3 linked regions of the Mus musculus genome follow. The main gene of each other region encodes a partner of the protein of the gene in region 2 in a complex. Links are inferred from orthologs where the notes say so. Each region holds a gene or a part of one and is shown on either strand. Other genes may lie near its edges. The genes, in order: Serpinc1, F10 and Asph.

The links.
Region 1: the proteins of F10 (region 2) and Serpinc1 are in contact, whole or in part, in a crystal structure (PDB 2GD4), measured with the Homo sapiens proteins. The link is inferred for Mus musculus from reciprocal best matches to the Homo sapiens genes F10 and SERPINC1. Residues at the interface, in NP_000495.1 of Homo sapiens: Asn254, Glu256, Glu258, Gly259, Phe260, Cys261, His276, Cys277, Gln280, Ala281, Lys282, Thr318, Tyr319, Arg366, Lys370, Gly371, Arg372, Gln373, Phe396, Asp413, Ala414, Cys415, Gln416, Gly417, Asp418, Val437, Ser438, Trp439, Gly440, Gly442; in NP_000479.1 of Homo sapiens: Asn265, Thr266, Arg267, Glu269, Met283, Met284, Tyr285, Glu287, Tyr292, Arg294, Val349, Val420, Val421, Ile422, Ala423, Gly424, Arg425, Ser426, Leu427, Asn428, Pro429, Asn430, Arg431, Thr433.
Region 3: the proteins of F10 (region 2) and Asph are in contact, whole or in part, in a crystal structure (PDB 6Q9F), measured with the Homo sapiens proteins. The link is inferred for Mus musculus from reciprocal best matches to the Homo sapiens genes F10 and ASPH. Residues at the interface, in NP_000495.1 of Homo sapiens: Asn97, Gln98, Lys100, Cys101, Lys102, Asp103, Gly104, Leu105, Gly106, Glu107, Tyr108, Thr109, Cys110, Thr111, Leu113, Glu114, Gly115, Phe116; in NP_004309.2 of Homo sapiens: Ala389, Glu390, Arg393, Ser394, Asn395, Leu398, Gln431, Phe432, Leu433, Gly434, Met436, Arg437, Val462, Leu465, Leu466, Ile467, Gly468, His493, Phe496, Ala500, Arg526, Phe529, His530, Arg562, Ser563, Leu564, Tyr565, Asp616, Glu617, Leu619.

The regions. Positions count from the first base shown.
Region 1 is NC_000067.6:160,976,056-160,983,555, forward strand, and holds the start of Serpinc1 (antithrombin-III isoform 1 precursor), read left to right. Parts: upstream 1-2,527; 5' UTR 2,528-2,660; intron 2,661-4,347; exon of another isoform or gene 4,348-4,485; intron 4,486-7,500. UniProt on the Homo sapiens protein: Most important serine protease inhibitor in plasma that regulates the blood coagulation cascade. AT-III inhibits thrombin, matriptase-3/TMPRSS7, as well as factors IXa, Xa and XIa. Its inhibitory activity is greatly enhanced in the presence of heparin.
Region 2 is NC_000074.6:13,048,768-13,055,494, reverse strand, and holds part of F10 (coagulation factor X isoform 2 preproprotein), read right to left. Parts: intron 4,870-6,727; coding exon 4,634-4,869; intron 2,140-4,633; coding exon 2,022-2,139; intron 203-2,021; coding exon 1-202. UniProt on the Homo sapiens protein: Factor Xa is a vitamin K-dependent glycoprotein that converts prothrombin to thrombin in the presence of factor Va, calcium and phospholipid during blood clotting.
Region 3 is NC_000070.6:9,665,089-9,672,330, forward strand, and holds the start of Asph (aspartyl/asparaginyl beta-hydroxylase), read right to left. Parts: upstream 4,075-7,242; 5' UTR 3,823-4,074; coding exon 3,693-3,822; intron 1-3,692.

The sequences.
Region 1 (7,500 bases), on a different chromosome or scaffold from region 2:
GAGCCATCTTTCCAGCCCCATATTTTTAAGAGATAGATATATTAATCATAGTTGGAATTTATTCTAAAATACTTTCCAATGAAAATTGATAGGGATTTCCAGAAAAGGGTTATAACATTACCAATTACTAAATACGGGGACCACTGGTACCATGACTGGCCACAACAGAAGGAGCCATGGTAAGGGAGCTCAGAAGGTATTAGATAGTTAAGTGCTTGTAGCCATCCTTGAAAAATGATGACATCTAAAAAGGAAATTCCAAAACCAAGCCTGTCTGCCACTTAACCTAAGCTTGTCCTGCTTAGGATATAAGCAGGAACTATCTGACCTGTTAGGCTGACATGCTCAGACTAAAGTGAATGTGTTATATGTGCATCAATGTTTTGTCCCAGTGATCAGCGAATCTGAAATGATCAGCTAGTTAAATCATGCTTTCCAGCCAGTCGTGGTGGCGAACACCTTTAAACCCAGCACTCGGGAGGCAGAGGCAGGTGGATTTCTGAGTTCGAGGCCAGCCTGGTCTACAAAGTGAGTGCCAGGACTGCCAGGGCTTCACAGAGAAACCCTGTCTCGGAAAACAAAACAAAACAAAACAAACAAACAAAAAAAATCATGCTTTCCAACCTGTTTGGCTATTAAGAGAAAAAATACCTACCTCCTTTTTTTTTTTTTTTTTTTTTTTTTTTTGTTTGAGCACCTAACCTTAAGAAAGGATAGATGGAAGAGTGGGAGGAAAAGTTGTAGGAGCCAGAGGGGTCAAGGACAGCACAGAAATCTGATAGAATCTATTAACCTAAGCTCAGAGGGCCTCACAGAGACTGAACCACGAGGCATGCAAGGAACTGACTCTCTCCACATCTGTAACAGTTGTGTAGCTTGCTTTTTCATGTGGGACTCCTAACAGCAGGAGCAGCAGCTGTCTCTGACTCTTGCAGCCTACCTTTGGGACTCTTTTTTTTTCCCCTTACTGAGCTGCCTCAATAGAAGATGCACCTAGTTTTACAGCAACATGATCTGCCAAAGCTGGTTGATATCCGTGGGAGGCCTCCCCTTTTCTGAAGAGAAGTGGGGTGGGGTGACTGGGTGGGAGGAAGGGAAAACTGGTCAGTATGTAAGTAAATCAAAAAATAAAACATTGGGAAGAAAGTGGTTAGGCATGATGTCCTACCTTAATCCCAGTTCTTAGCGGCAGAGGCAGATGGACCTCTGAGCTCAAGGTCAAGGCTGATCTACATAGCAAGTTTCAGGACAGTCCTGTCTCACCTACATACACGCCCACACTCCAAAAAAGTAGTCAGGCAGGAGATGGTGGCGGCCCATAAATGAAGTACCCTGGTGAACAAGAGTTGGAAGCCACTTATATTACATAGTAAATTCCAGGCCAGGCTGGGCTGCACCATATCCCAAAACAAAAAGTGAATTTATCAACTACTAAACGTCCATATGCTTAACAAAATAGAAGACAAAAGTACTTTCTGCCATCAATGAGCTCTAATTGTGGAACTTTGCACAGGCTTTTTAGATACCTTAATCTTGATGGCTATGGTAGTACAGCTTCATTCCCAGAGGTTAGGAGACAGTGGCAGGCAAGTCTCAAGGCCAGCCTGATGTGAAGAGTTCAGTGCCAGGCTAGTCAGGGGTGCATAGTGAGCCTTTGACTCAATAAGATGATGACAACATTAATTATCAACGAATTGTCATCTTCAGAACAAGAAGCTGTGAGACTGGACAAGACAACTTCATTGTACAAGGCCCTAAGTTTGATCTCTAGCACCATCCCCAAAGAAAACTCTGTGTGTGTGTGTGTGTGTGTGTGTGTGTGTGTGTATTTAACTTTGTTTGGCTGGTGAAGATCTCCCAAGGAAACCACAGTGAAGGTAAGACATGAGCGAGTTGAAGTATGGAGAGGGGACTAGGATGTTAGAGAGTCCTAAGCTGTCCTAGTAAGGGAAGATAGGGTATATGAATTCTGAGGGAAGGGACTGAGTTGAAATGGGGATCTTCATTACAACTACTATAGACAGGCAGCTGAAGAGGTGTTGCTTGTAGCTTTTACTACCCCACCAAAGCTCCAGGAACAGGCCATGCTACCAGCCCCCACCCAGCTTCCCTTGAATCCAAGGATAAAAGAGGAGGTAGGATCAGATGGCAAGGGCTGTAGACCATGCCAAAGTGTGGTGGCACTACTCTCTAGTTCCAGGTTAGATCAAGTTCAAGGCCAGCCAGCTTGAGCTACACTGGCAAGTTCAAGGCCCTGAGTTACATGAGACCTGTCTCAAAACTAAAAATAAAATGGCCTTGTCCTGATGGTAAAGAAAATATAAGCAGAAGGTAGTATGCAAGGAAATACAAAATCTAGATTTGTGCCTCTTTATTCACAATTATTGAAAAAATTATGCATGCCTCTCCCATGTGCATGGTGTTCACTGGGGCCCTTGGTAAGGTGCAGTCTGTTTCAGCGGGTCTGGGGTGGGGCTTGGAGGCACATGATCACAGATGATACTCGTGTTCAGTGTGGCCAAAGAGCACACTTGCGTAAGACTCGCCATAATAGGTAATTTTAGAAATAGATCTGATTTGTATCTGAGACATTTTAGTGAAGTGGTGAGATATAAGACATAATCAGAAGACATATCTACCTGAAGACTTTAAGGGGAGAGGTGAGTAGGGTGATTCTTAGCTGGGTTCACATCGGAAGAAGCAGGTGCCTTAAATGGAAGTCAGGGTTCCTGTGCAGCGTGAGCAGCTACAAAACGAATGAGTCTCAATGAGGCCTGAAGGAGTTTAGGTTGTTGTTTGTTTTGGGTCTTGTTTTTTTTTTTTTTCTATTTGAAGATTTATTGTATGTATGTGCACCATATGTGTGCCTGGTGTCTGTAGAAGTCAGTATTGAATCCCCTGGAACTGGAGTTCCGCATGGTTGTAGCCCACCATGTAGGTGCTGGGAATCAATCCTGGATTCCCTGCAAGAAAAATGGACCTAGCTGCTGAGCAGCTTTATACTTCTCAGTTAAATACCAATACCAATACAGATGTGAAGCTGGACATTGGCATGCTGAATCTGTTTAAAGTGAGGCTAGGTTCCCAATTGCAATCGGCTTACACGAAATTAGGGCCTGAACCAGCCCAGTGGTTGAAGTAGGAGAGGAGTTGGGCAATAGGCTGGTTCTGTGTGGTGACTTGAAGACAGATGACAGAACTCCTTAGTCCCCTTGACCAAACAGTAGATCTGTTTGGACATCCTTTTCATGGCATCAAAGCCCTTGGGAATAGTTGAAAGGAAAACCTATAGTGATTTTAGTCTGTCATACATACTCCTAACCTCCCAAGCCCAGTTAGGACCTAAAGGTGCTCTCTTGTACCTCTTTGTCTCTGTGTCATATGTCTAAACTAAACCTTTTACTCCCTGGATAGTTAGGGTACACCTAGACTCAAAGCATGGCATGCCTGTTTCCCCATGGCAGAAGGGCCTCTTGTAGTTTGGGGTATTATACTTTAATCTGTATTAGGCTTTTTTGTTTGTTTTTGTTTTTGTTTTGAGACAGGGTTTCTCTGTGTAGCCCTGGCTGTCCAGGAACTCACTCTGTAGACCAGGCTGGCCTCAAACTCAGAAATCCACCTGCCTCTGCCTCCCAAGTGTTGGGATTAAAGGTGTGCCGGTGGTGCTCGGTGGCTTTTGTTTTTTGTTGTTTTGTTTTTGTTTTGTTGTTGTGGGTTTTGTTTGTTTTTGCATACACATGTCATGTCTGAAGCACATGCATGCAGTACCCAGTGATGCTAGGAAAAAGCACCATCTCTTCTGGAAGTGAAGTTAGAGAGGGGAGCTGCTATGTGGGTGCTGGGAATTGAACCTGGGTACTCTGGAAGAGTTGTCAGTGGTCCTGCTGACATCTCTACTGCTGAGCCATTTCTGGCCTGGGCTTCAGCTCCTTAACTAGTTCTGATGGTTACCATGATACAGTCATTCCCATACCCTCATGCCCTCCTTGTCCCTTAAATGAACTTATAAGGGTTTTCTAAAGCAAGGCTTGGAAGATGTGTGAAAGGCGAGGTAGTCTATAACTCAGCTGCTGTCATCACAGCACACACCTTCGTCCTAGCTTTAGCCACGTTTCTTCCTGCTGCTTCGAGGTCAAACTATGTCATCCCCGTGTCACTGGGAATTCTGCCACTCTCCCTGACTTTGCACTCTGCTTTTCTTCTGTGGTTTTCTCTTATCTCCTACAACTTCTGAGCTAATGTACATGCAATGAGCTTTTTCCCCAAGTTGCTCTTGACTACCTCCCAGCCTTGATTAATATTTATTTGTTTGTTTGTTTGTTTGTTTGTTGTTATTTATTTATTTATTTATGTGCCCTAGGCATGAAACAGCTTTGGCCATCAAACCAGGCATTAATCTAGGATGAATAACTGCCATCCACTCTGCCCCTGACTGATATAAGAACACCACTGCCATAGGTGTCTCTTTGCCCATTGCCCGGGGGGTATTTCTGTCCTCAAGAATCAGTAATGCCTATTTTTTAAAAAGTCTTAATAATCTCTCCATTAAGGAAGTATCAACTGCTAAATCAGAAAAAAAAAATCTGTACCTCTTCAAACATAAATGTTTATTGAGTCCTATCTCATTCAGAGCCCACAGCTGTGTGCACTGAGCATGTTCAATAAATATTTGCTCTTGTGGTTTGATTTCACTGAAACCCAAACTGAACTTTCTAGCTGTACCGAGGACCGGGGCAAATTCCAGTAAGATGCTTCAAGACCCTGGGAAAAGCAGCCAACATGATAATGCCGGGCTTGCTCTTGATAAGCTTCATCCCACCTTAATTACCACCCGAAGATGCTGTTATTACCCTAAGGTCCTTCTTCTTCGACAATCCAGAGGAGCTAGGCATGCCCTTGCTTTGAGGCTCTGTGTTTTGCCAAAGCTCTATGGAAGGGAGTTACTCAGTAACCATAGGAGGGTCTGAGCTACCAAAGACAAGAACACCACAGCCTAGGGCATGAGGGCAGCAGGCAAAGGCCAGTTAATGACCTGCTCACGGTGATTTATGTAGACTGGAGGCTGCTGTAGAAAGGAATTAATGACCTGAAGGAGGTCCCAAAAATTAGAGGGGAAGTAAACGTTAATATTCTTTCAATGTCACTGGAAGACCCGATGTATGCTTTCCAATCTTGTTTCCACTCAGAATGGAGAGAAACGGTTCTACAGATAAGTAGGGGAATTCTCCCCCAAATTTTTACCTGACACGAGTATATCAGAAGGCAGGAAGATGATTCAGTGGGTCAGAGTGGCAACCTGAATTCATTCCTGGAACCTCATGAAAAGACAATTGCAGTGGTACCCATCTGAAATGCCACAACTCCAGTAGTGAGATGAGGAGCAGAGCTAGAGTTGCCCAGAGGCTCCAGGGCCAGCTAGCCCAGATTGTACTGCACAGTGAAACCATCAAAGGTGAAGGGGAGAACCAACTCTGTAAAAGTTGCCCTCGGGTCGTACACGTGCTGTGGTATGTACACAGCTGCACACATCACTCACACACACACACACACACACACACACACACACAGAGAATGTTTTTAAAGTTTCATTTTTAGTGCTGATTAGTCAACCCCTGTGTCTTACTTACTCTTAGAGAGCACGCACTCCACCTCTGAACTACATCCCTGGCTCCCCATAAATAGTTTGCCTCCAGTTCTGGATATAACTAAAGTCTCAAAAGAAAATTAGAGCACTTTTCTTTTTTAAAGATTATTTATTATATGTAAGTACACTGTAGCTGTTCTCAGACACCCCAGAAGAGGGCATCAGATCTCATTACGGATGGTTGTGAGCCACCATGTGGTTGCTGGGATTTGAACTCAGGACCTTCGGAAGAGCAGTTAGTACTCTTAACCGCTGAGCCATCTCTCCAGCCCTAGAACACTTTTCTTATATCTTATAAAACTAATTAAATATTTCATGGAGTATGCAAAGGGGAGTACAGTCACAAATCAGTTTGCCTGGAAATAGTCTTTTTTTTTTTTTTTCTTTCCTTTCTCAACACAATCTAAGATGAACCAAAAGAGAAGATATTTGGGATCATCCAAGCCAGTGAAAGCCAAGGGGAGCTGTATGTGTGAGAAGCTGAGGCCAGGCTGGTAGTGAGGACTCTAAGGAGGCCTGCTGCAGTACACAGTGATGGGGAAAACAGCCAGGGGCAATGCAGCTCAGCACAGCAGGACTGTCTTTTGACCATGTTGTCTTTCTGATGGCAATGTTGGATATCGTAGAATAAGACAGGTGTTTGCTTCTTGGCCAAGAATCACAGGTGCTTTTTTTTTCAGTAATGGAATCCCCATAGCATATCCCAAAAATGATGGGTTCCACAGCTGAGAGTCAGGAAATGCTTGGGCTGGTAACCTGCAGGCCTTTGGAACAGTTACAGCTTAATCATGCAACACAGAAACTGAAACAGCTAAAAAGAGCTGGCCACATGATATAGAAGCTATGTGGTGGCTGTGCTCATCTGGGATGCATATCAGACACATGTACACTAATACAATATCTGTAGCCAATGAGAAAGCCTCTAAGGTCATTTCTGGGACCTGGATTTTTGAGAGCATTATGAACAAATTTGTGACTATCCAGAGGAAAAGAACCAGGTGGTGGGAGAAGTTACAAGCTTCACATGTGGAAAAACAAAAGCAAAAGGATTTAGTAAGGGCTACATAGTAAGAAAGAACTTATCTCATAAAACGGTGGGAGGGGGAAAAAAACAAGCAGATGCTGAGTTGTAGCCAGAGAACATGGACAATTCCTTAACAACACATAGAAGACCTGTGAAACAAGGCTGGAGAGATGGTGCAGGGGTTAAGAGCTCAGGTTAAGACCTGTGAAACAGGTATCAAAGGAGGGCCTTGAACCTCATTTCCCCTAATTTTGTGATGGGGACAAGTACTCCAGCCAAGTAAACAGGCATTTGTTTTCCCCATCTGTAAGCGTGGCACAGTAACATCCCGGTAGAGCAGATGAGGCCATTCTGGAAAGCAGCCAGCGTAGCTTCTGGTATATAATATTTTGAAATCACACTTCATCCTTGGGTATTTGGCTTATTGGATACAATCCAATAGCTAACAGCAAGATAATGGTGAAATTACAGACAATAGAACATTCCTAGCCAACCCAGATTATTTTGCTAGGCAGGCACCTAAACACTACTACTCTGCCAGCAGACACTGAAGTGGGCTTCCTCCATCTCCCCTCCCCACACCTGCTCGGGGATCAGTTCCCCACCCCCCTTCAGGTGCTGCCACCCTCAGACTGTACTAGGACCCCTCTTCCCATGCCTCCCTGTGACACGGCATTGCCACCATTGTTGCTCATCAAGTCGAGACCTTTTGCCTACGTGACATATTGATGGGTTTAAAAAATGTTAGAAAACTCGGGCATGGTGGATTATATCATCCCAGCACTCAAAAGGCTAAGGCTGATGGGTTCTAAAGCCAAGCGTAGATTGAACC
Region 2 (6,727 bases):
TGTGTCATCAGTGTGGACTCGGCCCAGTCTTTCTGAGGCAGGCAGGCAGGGGCCACGTTCATCCGGAACGTGATGGGAGTCTTCAGCCTCAGCACGGCGATATCATAGTCGTAGGTGTCCCTCTGAAACTTGTTGTGCTTAATGACCACGTCCACCTCGTGCACCATCTCGTTGCCTTCTTCCTTCTCTGTGTTCCGATCACCTGGGGCCAGAGAAAGAGAGAGAGGATAGGGCTGAGTTCCCAGAGGGCCACGTGTTTGTGATCTGCTGTGTTTAAAGAAGCACACCTTTAGTCCCATCACAGAAGGATTAGAGGCGGGTAGATCTATGAGTTTGAGGCCAGCATCATCTATCTATATGATAAGTCCCAGGCTATCCACACTACATAAACTAGATCCTGTCTCAACAAGAAAGGAAGGAAGGAGGGGAAGGAAGGGAGGGAGGAGGGAGGGAAGAAGAGAGGAAGGGAGGGAGGCAAGCAATGTGCTGCCTGGTCTTATTGTCAATTTGACACAAGCTAGTCATCTGAGAGGCAAGAACCTCAATTGAGAAAATGTCCCTTATAAGATCGGGTTGCAGGCAAGCCTATAGGCACTTTCTTAATTAGTGATTGATGAGGCACCGCCCAGCCCTTTATGGGTGGTGCCATCCTTTAGCTGGTGGTCCTGGGTTCTATAAGAAAGCAGGCGGAGTAAGCCATGTTATGCAAGCCAGTAAGCAGCACCCTCCACAGCCTCTACATCAGCTCCTGCCTCCAGGTTCCTCACTGACTTCCTTTGATGGTGACCTGTGATGTTGAAGTGTAAGCTGAACAAACCATCTCCACAAATAAGTTTTTTTTTCCTCATAGGAAACCAGACCCAAGCCAAGGACTGTGTGCTTGTGTTCCTAGCAGTCAGAAGGACCGGGCAGGTTCTTTGTAAATTCAAGATCAGCCAGTTCTCTGTAGAGTAGCCCAACTCAAAAATTAAAAATAAAGGTACTTAAAAGGTGCTCTGTCTTTCTTCCAGTTCACCTTCTTATCATATTTTTAAAAAGTCTTTTTAAAATAAAGGTTTATTTCATTTTATGTGTCTGAGTGTTTGCCTGCATATGTACGTATGTGCACTGTGGGCATGCCTAGTGCCTGTGGAGGCCAGAAAATGGCATCAGATCTCCTTGAACTTGAGTCACAGACAGTTGGGAGCCACCATATGGGTTCTAGGAACTGAACTGAGGTTCCGTACAAGAGAATTGAATACTATCAGCACTAAGACAGCTCCCGATCAGATTTCCGTGTTCAGGCTTAGGACTCCAGTTCTTTCCAATTCCCCATGCTTTGGTAGATGGTCCCTGTGTAGTTCCTGGAAGCTGGGTCTGTGGATTTGCTCAGGACAGAGGGTCTCCTATTCCAGACCTGGGTGGTGCATCCACCCTCACCGGTGCCGGTGCCCTTGGACCCACCCAGTCTGAGTTAAGGTGAAAGAACCTCCTGCTGACTGTGGAAGGCAATGTGGTAACATCTCACTCACAGTGGAAGTTTATCCCTCTAGGGATGGAAAGTCAAGGCCTCGGGGACACAGCTGGAAAGGAGAAATGCTGAGACACCCGCAACAATCTGTACTTGTTACGTTTGTAGCAGAGAAATGTCAGATGTCTCAAACTGCACCTGAGGCAGTTTGTGGCTGGATTGTTACTAGACAGCTCCTGGGTCTTGTGGAAACATGGAAATGCACTAAATGACACACAGTGAAAGGAAGAGGCCCTGAGAGTGTTGTAGAGAGAGGAAGGTTGGAAAGGCTTCTGAGGATTGGACAGTAAGAGGAGTGTAATAAAAGACACACTAGAAACTCTGAAGAGAGAAGTCTCTTGCTGGAATGGCCTGGGCTGGGGAAGCCGTTAGATGCCTGCCCTCCGAGTTCTCCTCGGCATTTGGGCAACTGTTGCTAACAGATCCCATGTGTCTAGAGATCCTGGGAGAGCAACGACAGTGCTTTTAGGACTTGAGATGGCGGGGTCCCCAGGGCTGGAATGTCACTTACCTACCCTCACCTTGAATCGCCTGGCCTGATGGAGACAGTGGGCAGCAGTGAGGATGTAGAACTCATTCAAGATGGTGCCCCCACAGAACCCTTCATTGTCTTCGTTAATGAGCAGAGCCTGTGACCAGAACAGAATTGTCTTCAAACCACCTATAGCCTGCGTGAGGCCATGCCACACTGAGTAGGCTATTTGGGCTCTCCAGGGACTCTCAAATAACCTTTTCTAGGAGTTTTACACCTGTTTCTCTGACCCCTGCTTTCTCCATCCACTAGCCTACCCAGAGACCCAGCTCTCCTGCCTGTTGGCTGCCCAGAGAACATATGGTAGCTTTCTCTCAGTTCCAGACACCAGCAGAGACCTCCATGTAGTCCAGCACCCCACAGCCAGGCTCTGCTCTACCTCCACTAGCCAGTCCTACAACTCCTTCTGACCCTGCATCTCCTGTGGCGTTCACTCTAGCGGCCCAGACCTTTCCTGCATGACCCTCAGCATATTCTCCAACAGCCACCTTGTGCCTAATCCCTGGGCATATCCAGCCTTGTTTCCTCAGGGTAGGTTTGGTCTGCTGTAAAGATTGACCAACAGATAGTTCACAGATATTTGCTGAGGGTCTGACCTAGACCAAGAACCACCCTGGAGGACATCTTTGCCTGTCTCCTTCCCACCCAGGTGACAAGGTCCCTGTAACGGGCCTCCTCTTTTTTCTCTTCCCAATCAGTCCTAGCACTTTCGCCTGTTACCCACAGAAGACATTCCTCTGTAGTAAGAACCTTAAGGTTTACATGGCTGTGACTCATGACCCAGACCAGCCAGCCCTGCTCTGAAGAAACACTTTACTTTCCATAGCCCAGATCCCGCAGCCTACAGACCTGCCCTCCTGCTCATTAAGTGCCACTGTCTGGGATGATCTAGTCAGGGTACCCGTGACTGCTCTTGAGAAGCTATGCAGAAGCAAGAGTTGATGTCCAGGAGAGGAACCATGCCCATCCTAGAGCTCTAGCCTGCAGTGCTGGACACCAAGTGTTGGCTGGGCTGCCTTTCTTTAGTGAATTCCCTACCCTCTGGTGGGAGTCAGCGAGCAGGATGCACATGGCATTCACCTTTAATCCCAGGATTAGGGAGACAGAGGCAGGTAGATTTCTTATGAGCTCAAGACCAGCCAGGCCCACACACTGAGACCCTATCTAAAAAAAAAAAAAAAAAAAAAAAAAAGCACTCTCTAGTGTTGAATCCAGAGGAATTCTTGAGGTTACCCATTGCTAAAAAGTCAATGAGTTTGTCTTTTATTGATTTTGTTTTTCCTCTTCTTATATTAAAGATGTTTTAAAATTATGTTTATGTGCATGAATATGCACAGGTTAGTGGAGGTAGCTGTGAAGGCCAAAGATGCCAGCTCTCCTGGAGTTGGAGTTACAGGAGATTGTGAGCTGTCTAATCTAGGTGCCAGGAATTGAACTCTGGTCCTCTGGGAAAGGCGTATGCACTCTTAACCACTGAGCCATCTTCCAACCCCTATTTACCTTTGATAACTATACAAACTCAAACTTTGCTTTAGTGACAAGGGAAAGGAAGCCAGCTAAGACCCAACAACATATGCTTTCCCCTAAGGAGGAGCCAATCTTGGACCAGGAGCAGGTTTCTCTTACTCAGACTTCATCAGGGGCCTTGGTGAGTATTCCCCAGCCTCCCTGAAGATGAGATCTCATAGTCTACACGTAGTAGCCACTTTAGGTCCAGCTCAGTGAGTTCTCAGTACGTGTGTCTGAAGAGGGTTGCATGTAGGCTGGAATTCCTGCCTCTGGTCAACAACATCTGCCCTGCACCCTGCAGGTGGAGGGTGTTGACATGATGTCTGGGCATTGCTGGTGGCTCTAGACCAGTAGTTCTCAACCTTTCCTTTAACAAATTCTTCATGTTATGGTGACCCCCAACCATAATGTTATTTTGTTATGACTTCACAACTGTGACTTTGCTACTGTTATGAATTTTGAGGTAAATATCTGACATGCAACTCCCAAAGGGCTTGTGAGCCACAGGTTGAGAACCGGCTGTTCTAGGTTTTTTGCTTCTAGGAGAGGCATTTAGGTTTTGGACATTGCAAATCTCAAGGGCTAGCTGAGATGACAGAAGAGATTCAGAGCACTGGACCAGAAACCAAGCTGGGATCAGAAATAGCAGTTGAACACTCTCCTACAGCGGGACTCCAGTCTCACCAAGGGGCTTTTTTGCCCCCCTAAGTCTGGCAACCCTAGATCACATCAATAACCAAAGTAGTTAAAAAAAAACCATTTTGAATGTAAATAGAATGTATCTTTCTTTAACATATTTTACCCCTGTTAGCATTTAGATGTTTTTGTTTAAATTTTTTTTTCTCAAACTACAAATGGAATGATGGCCACTGAGAAGGACCCATGCAGGTCTGAGTCACTGACCCAGAGAGGGTTGTCCCACTGGCCTTTAGTGACCCTGAGAGGGTTATCCCACTGGCCTTTGGTGACCCAGAGAGGGTTGTCCCACTGGCCTTTAGTGACCCGAAAAGGGTTGTCCCATTGGTCTTTGCTGACCCTGAGAGGGTTTCTACTTGCAGCCAAGACTAGCTTAGGCCAGTTACCTGCCAGGGACATTCTCCATCCTTGCATTCCCGGCCACCCACAATCCGAACAAGGTCATCGCTGCTCCTCTCAGGCTGTGTCTCGTTGAGGTTGAGCAGTTCAATAGGATTCTCCGTAGGGGACAGGAAATCCTCATCAAGCAGGGCGTCTTCAAGGTCAAGCTCACTGTCGCTGGTGTTTAGGGCCACAGACCTCTTCCTACGTCCTGTAGTGATTTTTCCACAGGGGAAGGGAGCTAAAAGAATAGGACCACAGAGGCCTCAGCAAAGCCAGAAGCCTCATGAGGCTTCCTGGCCGGGGTGGAATGGTTAAGCCTAAGAGTCAAATGAGATATCAGTAAAACACAGCTAAAATGAATAAATAAATAAATAAATAAATAAATAAATAAAGAAATAAACAAATGCTAAAAAACTCCTTCATCCTTTAAATTTTGTCAGACATTTTGTTGCAGTGCTGAAATTCTGATGAATATAAATAATTGGTACCAAGAGTGGGGTTGCTGCTATGGCTACTTGGTCATGTGGTTCGAAAGGCTCGGGGCTAGTTGGTAGGAAGAATTTAAAAGCATTTAGAGATGTGAGCTGGAGTAAACTTAGAATTCTGTTGTTCAGAGCTGAGTGGGTGGTTCCATCAGGGTATCACAAGACCAGAATGCTGAAACAATTGTGGGTAGCGAATATTATGATCATGAACTCTTAAAAGGGATCAGAAGCTCTGTTGGGAATCAGATTAGAGGCCATTGGCTATAAAGACCTTGTTCACATTTTGCCCATGCCCTGAAACTGTAGAATCAATATTTTAAAGCTGATAGGCAAATTAAATTGGCAGAAGAAATTTCTTGGCTACTCAGCATTCAGGCTGTGGCATGGTTATTGCTGGATATTTTAAATGAAGTTTACAGTGAGAGCCAGAAATAAAAAACAGAGTTAGAAAACTTGAAAGCCTTTACCTTTGCAAGAAAACCAAGAGCAGAAACCAACAGCAAGAGAAGGGTCCTGTAGCCAGAGGCTGGGCACAGTGGCTATTCTGTTGCCAGTCATGGTTTGAGGTCAAGTAGTTACAATGTGGCCTTTGCTTCCCAAGAGTTGTGATTGTGACCTTAGCTAGTGAAAAGAAACTAGAGACTCTTATCCCTGGGCTGAAATACGTAGTTACAAACTTTCAAAGTATGCCAGACAAACTCTCTACTATTGAATATACCTATGTTTTCAGATATTAAACTTTATTTTGAATTGACTGGGATTGTTCCTGAAGTTAAAATAATTGGTACACATATCGAGAAATAGCTCCAGTTAAAAGTTTCTTAACTACTTGAAGCTTAAAAAATGTCAGTGAAGCCGGGCATGGTGGCGCACACCTTTAATCCCAGCACTTGGGAGGCAGAGGCAGGTGGTTTATGAGTTCGAGGCCAGCCTGGTCTACAGAGTGAGTTCCAGGACAGCTAGGGCTGTACAGAGATATCCTGTCTTGAAAAAAAAAAGTCAGTGGAAAAAAACCCTTCCTGTCTTTTGGTTGTTGAGAGATTCCATGTTATATAATTGGATCATCCTCGAAAGATGTATCCAGAGCCGCTCTTTTCTGATGACTTGGTTTCTGAGATAGATCGTCTTCAGTGAGCAGCAGATGAGAGGGGAAGAGGAGAAATGACTCAGCATGTTGAGTCCCATATCATCTCCTCTGTATGTTTGGTTGTCTGAGATCTATGTGGGCCTGAGACTTTGCACTCTTGGGCGCTGCTATGGTGGGAGTTAGGGACCATCTGTGAACCAAGAGGCTGGATCTTCAGAGTTGCTATCTCCATGTCATGTCTGTATTGCTCAGATGAACCTTTCTTGAGATCTGTTTGTTTGTTTGTTTGTTGTTTTCTTTCTTTTTTTTTTTCGAGACAAGGTTTCTCTGTATAGCCCTGGCTGTCCTGGAACTCACTCTGTAGACCAGGCTGGCCTCGAACTCAGAAATCCACCTGCCCTTCTCTAGCTCTTATGAGGGGTTCATTACCATGGCCCTCCATGTTTCTCAGCCCATCTGGCACTCACTGCTCTCTAAGAGCCTTGTTAGTCGTGGCTTTGGTGTTCTTCAGACCTGGCACATCC
Region 3 (7,242 bases), on a different chromosome or scaffold from region 2:
ATGGTATTTGTTGTTCCCTTTTGGGATCAGTGCACATGAACAAAATATCTAAGTTAGCCCACATAACCACGGTACTACTATTAACTAGAAGAAAATGTAAACTTTATCTATTTATTTTCGAATAATCTCCCAGCCCATGGTATGGTTGCAAAGAATTCCCTCCGAGTATTTTATAGAACTTGTTTTCCTATGATCTGGCCAAGCTAGAAAAACAGTGCTACCAACACAACAAACACATACAATTCTTGTAGTGAGCAAATTATGGGCTTTCTAGTTTTCCATCCTTAATTGGCTGGTAGAGTATTAAGTCACTGGCCCTGACTTATCCCCTTGGTTAAGTAGAAAAAAACTGCGACTGGGCCCCCTTCTTTCAAGAAAGCCAGGACACACTCAGCAGCACACTGTATCCATTAGCAACCTAAGAGACACAGAAAGTTTATGGAGGCTGGGGAAGAATAAATTTGGAAGTGTGTTTCCCAATGACCAAAATGCATCAAATGATTGTGTGAATTTATATTACCAAAAGTATACGGACATATTTCATTCTCCATAAGTCTTAAGATTGTTCCACACAAAGGCTTATTCTTAAATTTCTTGATCTATTAGATATCTTGAGAGAATTGAACACCAGTTGATAAGAGTTCCTGGGTAAGTACAGACTGATTAAAATAGTTTTAAGATCTAATTGCCATTATATAACTTGAAGCTTCAAATTGGGAGGGGAAACATGTTCTACAGCGACACCTGCTGGTAAGTGACAGAATAAAAGCAAGCCACAGCCAAAAGAGGCAGCCAGTGGTAAGTATGTCAAGACACTGGCCACAATGGTGATACATTGCACAGACCCCTCTGTACTGTATCATAAACCCAAAGACAACCATGTCCCTCTTCCTCAAACACTTTCCCAATCAGTAAATGTGAGAAAGACTTTTCACTGGCCAAGTAATAGTGAAGCACACTCTATGAATGAAATACCTGCGTTCAAAACCCCGGCTAGGTAAATCACCTTTTAGATGCATGTTAAACGTAAAATGTCCAACTCCTTTCTTCTGTATTCTAAGGAGCAAATTGAAAAATTTAAAATGAAATTCTACTTTATCATTTCTCAACTGAGCTGAAGAAAGTGGAAAGCAGACACATGCTTTAAAATATTTTCTCTATAGATGTGCTTTATAGGTCTCCCATCCCCCATAATACTTTTATATAATAACCTTAGTACTAATGAGATGAGTTATGAGACCAATGTCACCACTGATATCAGATTCTCAATGTTAAAAACTTAGTGTGTGCACTTTTCAAACTATGATTTTTAAACGTGCTACTTTAACCATATTTTAATCAAAGGCTTATTAGTTAAACAAAAGCACAAATTTCTGCAATGACTGTAACTCTACCTGGGACATGCCAGAAGAAAACTTGATAAACTACTTCAACTCCCAACCCCTATAAGATCTGACGTATTCTATTTAAGAACCAACAATTCAAACAGTGCAGTGTAATGATGAGCAACAGAAAACCTGGCTTTTAGTTGATGCTCTTCTGTCCTACCTGGGTTTTCACAGGCTGAGCAAGACCTTTAAGCATTAATTTTCTCACCTTATTTAACTAGAAGACACTAAATGCCACAGCAATGTAACTGCAGCTACGGACTCCCCAGCAGTTAGAGTTGGTTTGCATGTCCATGTCCCTACCTCAGTGACCACATAAAGTTAACTTTGTTTTCAGTACCCTGTTTATCTTTCAGGTGTACCCTGCTGTAAGAAAGCAATAAACAGAACCACGCTTTCCCATTATAATGGTAACTGTTTAGCACAAAGGGAAGAAGAGTTTTAGTTTCCACCTGGGGTGCCTTCTCTTTCACCCAATCAGAACTCAGTAGTTACTGAAATAGTTATTTAAAATAATGGCCTAGGAAGAATCATGCGCTCTGTGTAATTTAGGCTCGAGTTTGGGGGGAGGGGTTAGAACACAGGTGTTTCATTCATTATGAATGAAATTGTGCTTCATTATAGTTATGTCACTCTAAAGTGTGGGCAAATGATAGACTAAGGGACTATACATCCTAATGATAGAATAAGGGACTATATATACATCCTAAGAATAAGGTACTATACATCCTGGGGTTTCCCAGCCCTACCAGCTGACTGTAACACTGGTACTTATCAGGGGACGGTGCACACTCTCTGTACTGGCAGGCCTCATAAGAGACTTCCCTGGATGCAATCAGGGTGTAAAGGATAGAGATGAAAGTCTAGGATGTAGCTCAGCGGCTAAAGCACTTCCCCAGCACACACAAAGCTCCCAGGACAGCAGCAGACGCATTTCACCAGGCAATCGCTACAGAACACATTAAAATCTTGCTCATTAGCTTTCTCCTCAACATTCAGTAGGCTCTTCTCATTCACATACTTCAAATCTATGCTCCAACCACAAAGCAATGGCGCTGCCGATGTCAGATTAGCTGACTTAGGAGCCAGAGAGCCTGAATGTCATTTTTACCGGTATTGAGGTGAATTAATTACTACAGTGGCCTTGGACCTCAAACTGTGTACATAGAGTCCTTTCCATTAAGAATACAAACAGCTCTCAGAATGTTAATGTGTACAATGGATTTAACTGCCTAACTTTCCCCATTTACATTTATTCATTCATTTTCTAATCAAATATTTATTGCACAGCTATTAAGGAAACGAACTATTCTAGTTGATAATGGGGAATAGAAGAGAGTGAAACAAAGACAATACATGAAGACAGAATATACATGAAGACAGCAAGTGCTATGAAGAAAAACCATAGTTGGCTCATCTATCGTCCTGACATATACTAATAAAACCATAATCATCCAATCTATATATGACATATAATAATGAGCTGCCCATAGACCAAAGCATAGAATCTAAATCATTTCCAGTGATATTGAGAGCTCACATTCAATACACATGTGTGTTCCAGTTCCAATATTCTAAATATGAGTCAAAGGAAATATAAGAGAAACCGAGAACCGGTGAAATCTGACACGAAACAGATTTAAAACATCTGTTCTCCACTCTGCTGGCTAAGCACATGGAGAAGAAAGGTGAATAACCAGTAGGGTTTTTTGTTTGTGGGTTTTGGGTTTTTTGTTTGGTTGGGTTTTTTTTTTGGGGGGGGGGGGGTTATGATTTTATTTTATTTTATTGAGAAAAGAAAAAGGAGGCACAGAGAAAATCCCTATAGTACTTTATGATGTCCCTTTGTATTTTAAAAGGCAAACGCAATACATATTAAGAAAACTAAACAAAACTCCTTAAAATAATTTGCAAGAACGAAGCATCAAGTCTCATCCCGGCCCTTGAATACACTCCTCCAAGCCGCTCCTCAACGCTGCTGGCCAGGCTGAAACTTACTTTCTCTGACTTTGGCTCAGGGTCAAGCGCCCCGAAAACTGCAAAAAGATAAAGGGCCCTCTACACCCAGCTTCCATCAGGAAAGGCAAGAAAGGGCCGGCCAATGCTCGGGCAGGCTGGTGCTAGGGGTCCCCCTCCGGCCGACTCTGCTCCTCCGCCTCCCCGCCCGGTGAGCGCGGCCTCGCCCCGCGCACACAGGAGCCTCGCTAAGGATGGAGAGGAGCGGCGGACGTAGGATCAGACCAGACCTGCAGCGCCCACCCGGCTCCCGCCCGCAGCCAGGGCCTGGCCTGCGGGGACTCTGACCTCTCCGAGCCCCGGGGCTACTGCTGCTACCGCTGCTACCCGTGCTCGGGCTACCGCTGCCCGAGCCGCTGCCGCTGCCGCTGCTGCTGCTGTTGCCGCCGCCGCCCTTGGCGTTCTTGCGCGGGGCCATCGCGAGCTGCTCCGGGGACTGCAGAGAACCGGGGCCTTGCTGAGTGCACTAGGGACACCGGGGCTTCGAGACTCCTGTAGCAGCGCCTTAGCGTCCACTGCGCTCGCTGCGCCTCGGACGACTTGCACCAGCGTGCAGCCGCGCGGTTAGCCTCGCGTGCGCCCAGCCTGCGACTCCTTAGGCTGCCAAGAGCGCTCAGCTCCCCCCGGCCTCGGCCCCGCCCACGCCAGCCTCTGCCCACCCACCAGATCTGAAAGACGCCAACACGAGCCAATCCCGAGGACCGCTGGCAGGGGGCGGGGCAGGCTACGCGCGCCTGCCCTCCTCAGGCCAAAGCTTGTCTTTTGCTGCGCAGTGACTGCAAAGCCCCAGCGGCTTGTGGCTTTCTAGTCTGCCTGGATCCTCTGGAACGTGGCAAACGTGGAAGCCGGCAGGACTCTCGCGAGCGTTGGTGTTCTGGCTCCAACGGGATGGGGCGGGTATGAGGGCGGTGCCCGAGAGCTGCGCACCACCTCTTGGCTTCTTGGGAATTTGGTTCCGGTGCCTAAGTACGACCAAGGGTGCAAGCCCTCTCTTTGAAAAGGATTTGCCACAGTTCCGCCAGTACACTGTGATTGTTGAGCCTTCCAGTGTCAAAAATAAGGATTTGTGCCATCAGTAGTTTTGGAGAACCTTTAGTTAAGACATTAAAATGTTAACATGACTCAAAAACCCTATTTTCTTAACCATGCACAACACTCTCATCACACTAATACCTAGAATTTCTTCATGTCCCCAGCCATTGATCTCCTATGCTTATGCAGTGTACTGCGTCGGGATTGAGAACTGAATATTCAAAAGAAAAATGGCAACAGCTGGATGAACCAGCCAAGGTCCAGCAGAGACCATGATCATTTGTTACCAATTGCCCACATGGTGTCTGTGGGTAACAAAAAAACATGAAGTATGTGGTGATTTAATACATTGCTGTCAATGTCGAGATCTTCCAGGAGTTCTTGGAAGCAGCCCCTTGTAGAAGACCCAGAGTGAGCCACTGCTGTGGGACGACCCCTTCTGAGACTGCAGTTTCCTCAACCACCACTGACCATCATTAGGGTCCACTGGCCTCTGCCTTGTCAGCTGTGAATACTGGGTACCGCCCGGGGAAAAAAGTGGAACCCAAGAGCCTCACAGAACAGGGAAAAAGAGGGCATCGTTTTCACACAGCCATGAAGGTGGGTGCTGCCGTCCATTCTTACTGCATTTCTTTATCTCTGAGCCTCCTCGGCACCCAGGAGTCCTCTCTTTTGAACACAACTTCTTGCCCACAAAGGACATTCTTTCAGCAGGAAACAATGATGGGAATGGGGGGAGGCAGAGAGGCAAATCTGATCCATATCACTTAATGGAAGGTGCTGATATCTAAACTACAATAGATAAATAACTCTCCATCCCCAAGATAAAAAATTTTAATTACTCACAAAACACTATTATAGAGTTGATGCTTTAAAGGTTCAATCTTAACTAGCTTCCACAAATGTTTTAATCCCTTGTGCTGGCTGATTTTGTGTGTCAACGTGGCACAAGCTGGAGTCATCACAGAGAAAGGAGCTTCAGTTGGGGAAGTTCCTCCATGAGATCCAGCTGTAAGGCATTTTCTCAGTTAGTGATCAAGAGGGAAGGGCCCAGCCCATTGTGGGTGGTGGCATCTCTGGGCTGGTAGTCTTGGTTCTATAAGAGAGCAAGTTGAGCAAGCCAGGGGAAACAAGCCAGTAAGTAACATCCCTCCATGGCCTCTGCATCAGCTCCTGCTTTCTGACCTGCTTGAGTTCCAGTCCTGACTTCCTTTGGTGAGGAACCAGCAGTGTGAAAGTCTAAGCTGCATAAATCCTTCCTCCCCCCACCCCCAACTTGTTTCTTGGGCATGAGGTTTTGTGCAGAAATAGAAACCCTGACTAAGACAACCCTTATTCCCAGTTGGTGGTGCTGGTTTGGGGAGCTGAGGAATCCTCAGGAAGTATGACCTGGCTGCCCAAAGAGGCCACTAGGAGCAGACCTTTGAGGGTTATTTTATTAGTCCAGGCCCTGCTCTCCTGCTGCCATGGGTTCACATTGCCTCTGACAGTGGGGGCTAATGTTATGCCTTCCCTGGCCACGACAGATTAAAGTCTCTCTGGAACTCTGAGCCTTAGTAAACCTTTCCACTCTTAAGTGATTTCCTTTGAGTATTTTAGTCACAGCAATGCTAAAGTAATGAATGTCCCAGAGTTGGTGATAGAGAGGGGATGTGAACTCAGACTGCATGCAGAATTACTTCCAAATTATCCTTCCTAGAAAAAATCTACCGTTCAGTTGAGAATATCTTACTTGACGCCACTCTCCTGCAGCAGAGGCTTCTGGGATCATCTACACCCTCCCTGCAAAGACAGACTGAGGCCTGAGTGTGGACACTTTTCATAGGTCACAGTTTAGGGAAGTTAGATTTTACATTTTTGAACAGCTGTCTCCAAGGAAAAGTGAGGCTTTGTTCCTTCAGTCCAGAAACTAAGTCTGGTATTGCTAGCAATAGGACATAGTCACATCTCCACTCCATTCTTCCAGGAATCTGAAGAGTTAGTTCCCCTTTCCTTAAGAAACCTTCATTCAAGCAAAACCAGGATTTGTGGCTGCCCTACAGAAAAGAGTTTCACGGTGATCCAATAAGAAACCACGTTGGAGATTTTATTAAAAGTAGGCTTTAATATAGATCTTAAGCAGGGGGCTTATTAGAAAAAATGATGCTGCAGAGAGAGAAAGATTAAGTACCCCCAACAGGACAAGTACAGACTTCTCAAAGGAAAGCTGCAACTGGGGTTTTTTTCACAATGGGTGTGTATGGGATGTGGGTTATAAGCCAAGTTACATCTAGAGGTTGCTAAGAAACAATTTCCTTCTTTCTAATATTGCCTAAAAGCTGTAAGTCACAACTGTGTTAAAAGTTAAAGATTTTGGGCTGGTGAGATGGCTCAGTGGGTAAGAGCACCCGACTGCTCTTCTGAAGGTCCAGAGTTCAAATCCCAGCAACCGCATGGTGGCTCACAACCATCCGTAACGAGATCTGACTCCCTCTTCTGGGGTGTCTGAAGACAGCTACAGTGTACTTACATATAATAAATAAATCTTTAAAAAAAAAAGTTAAAGATTTTGTCTCAGTAACAAAGTTGTACAGTGCGTTTTCATGAATGACATCGTCTAAGTCTAGGAGAGGGGGTACTAGGAACATAAGTGTACCCATCACTTGAACCCTACGTAGCACAGCCTAACTACTGCCACATGCTTGACTAAGAGGCCGCCAGGAATGCATCACTGGGACCTAAGTGAGCATCCTTGATAGGATGCCTTTTGGTGAGCTGGAGAGATAGCTCAGCAGTTTAGAGCACTAAACTGCTTTGCCAGAGGTCC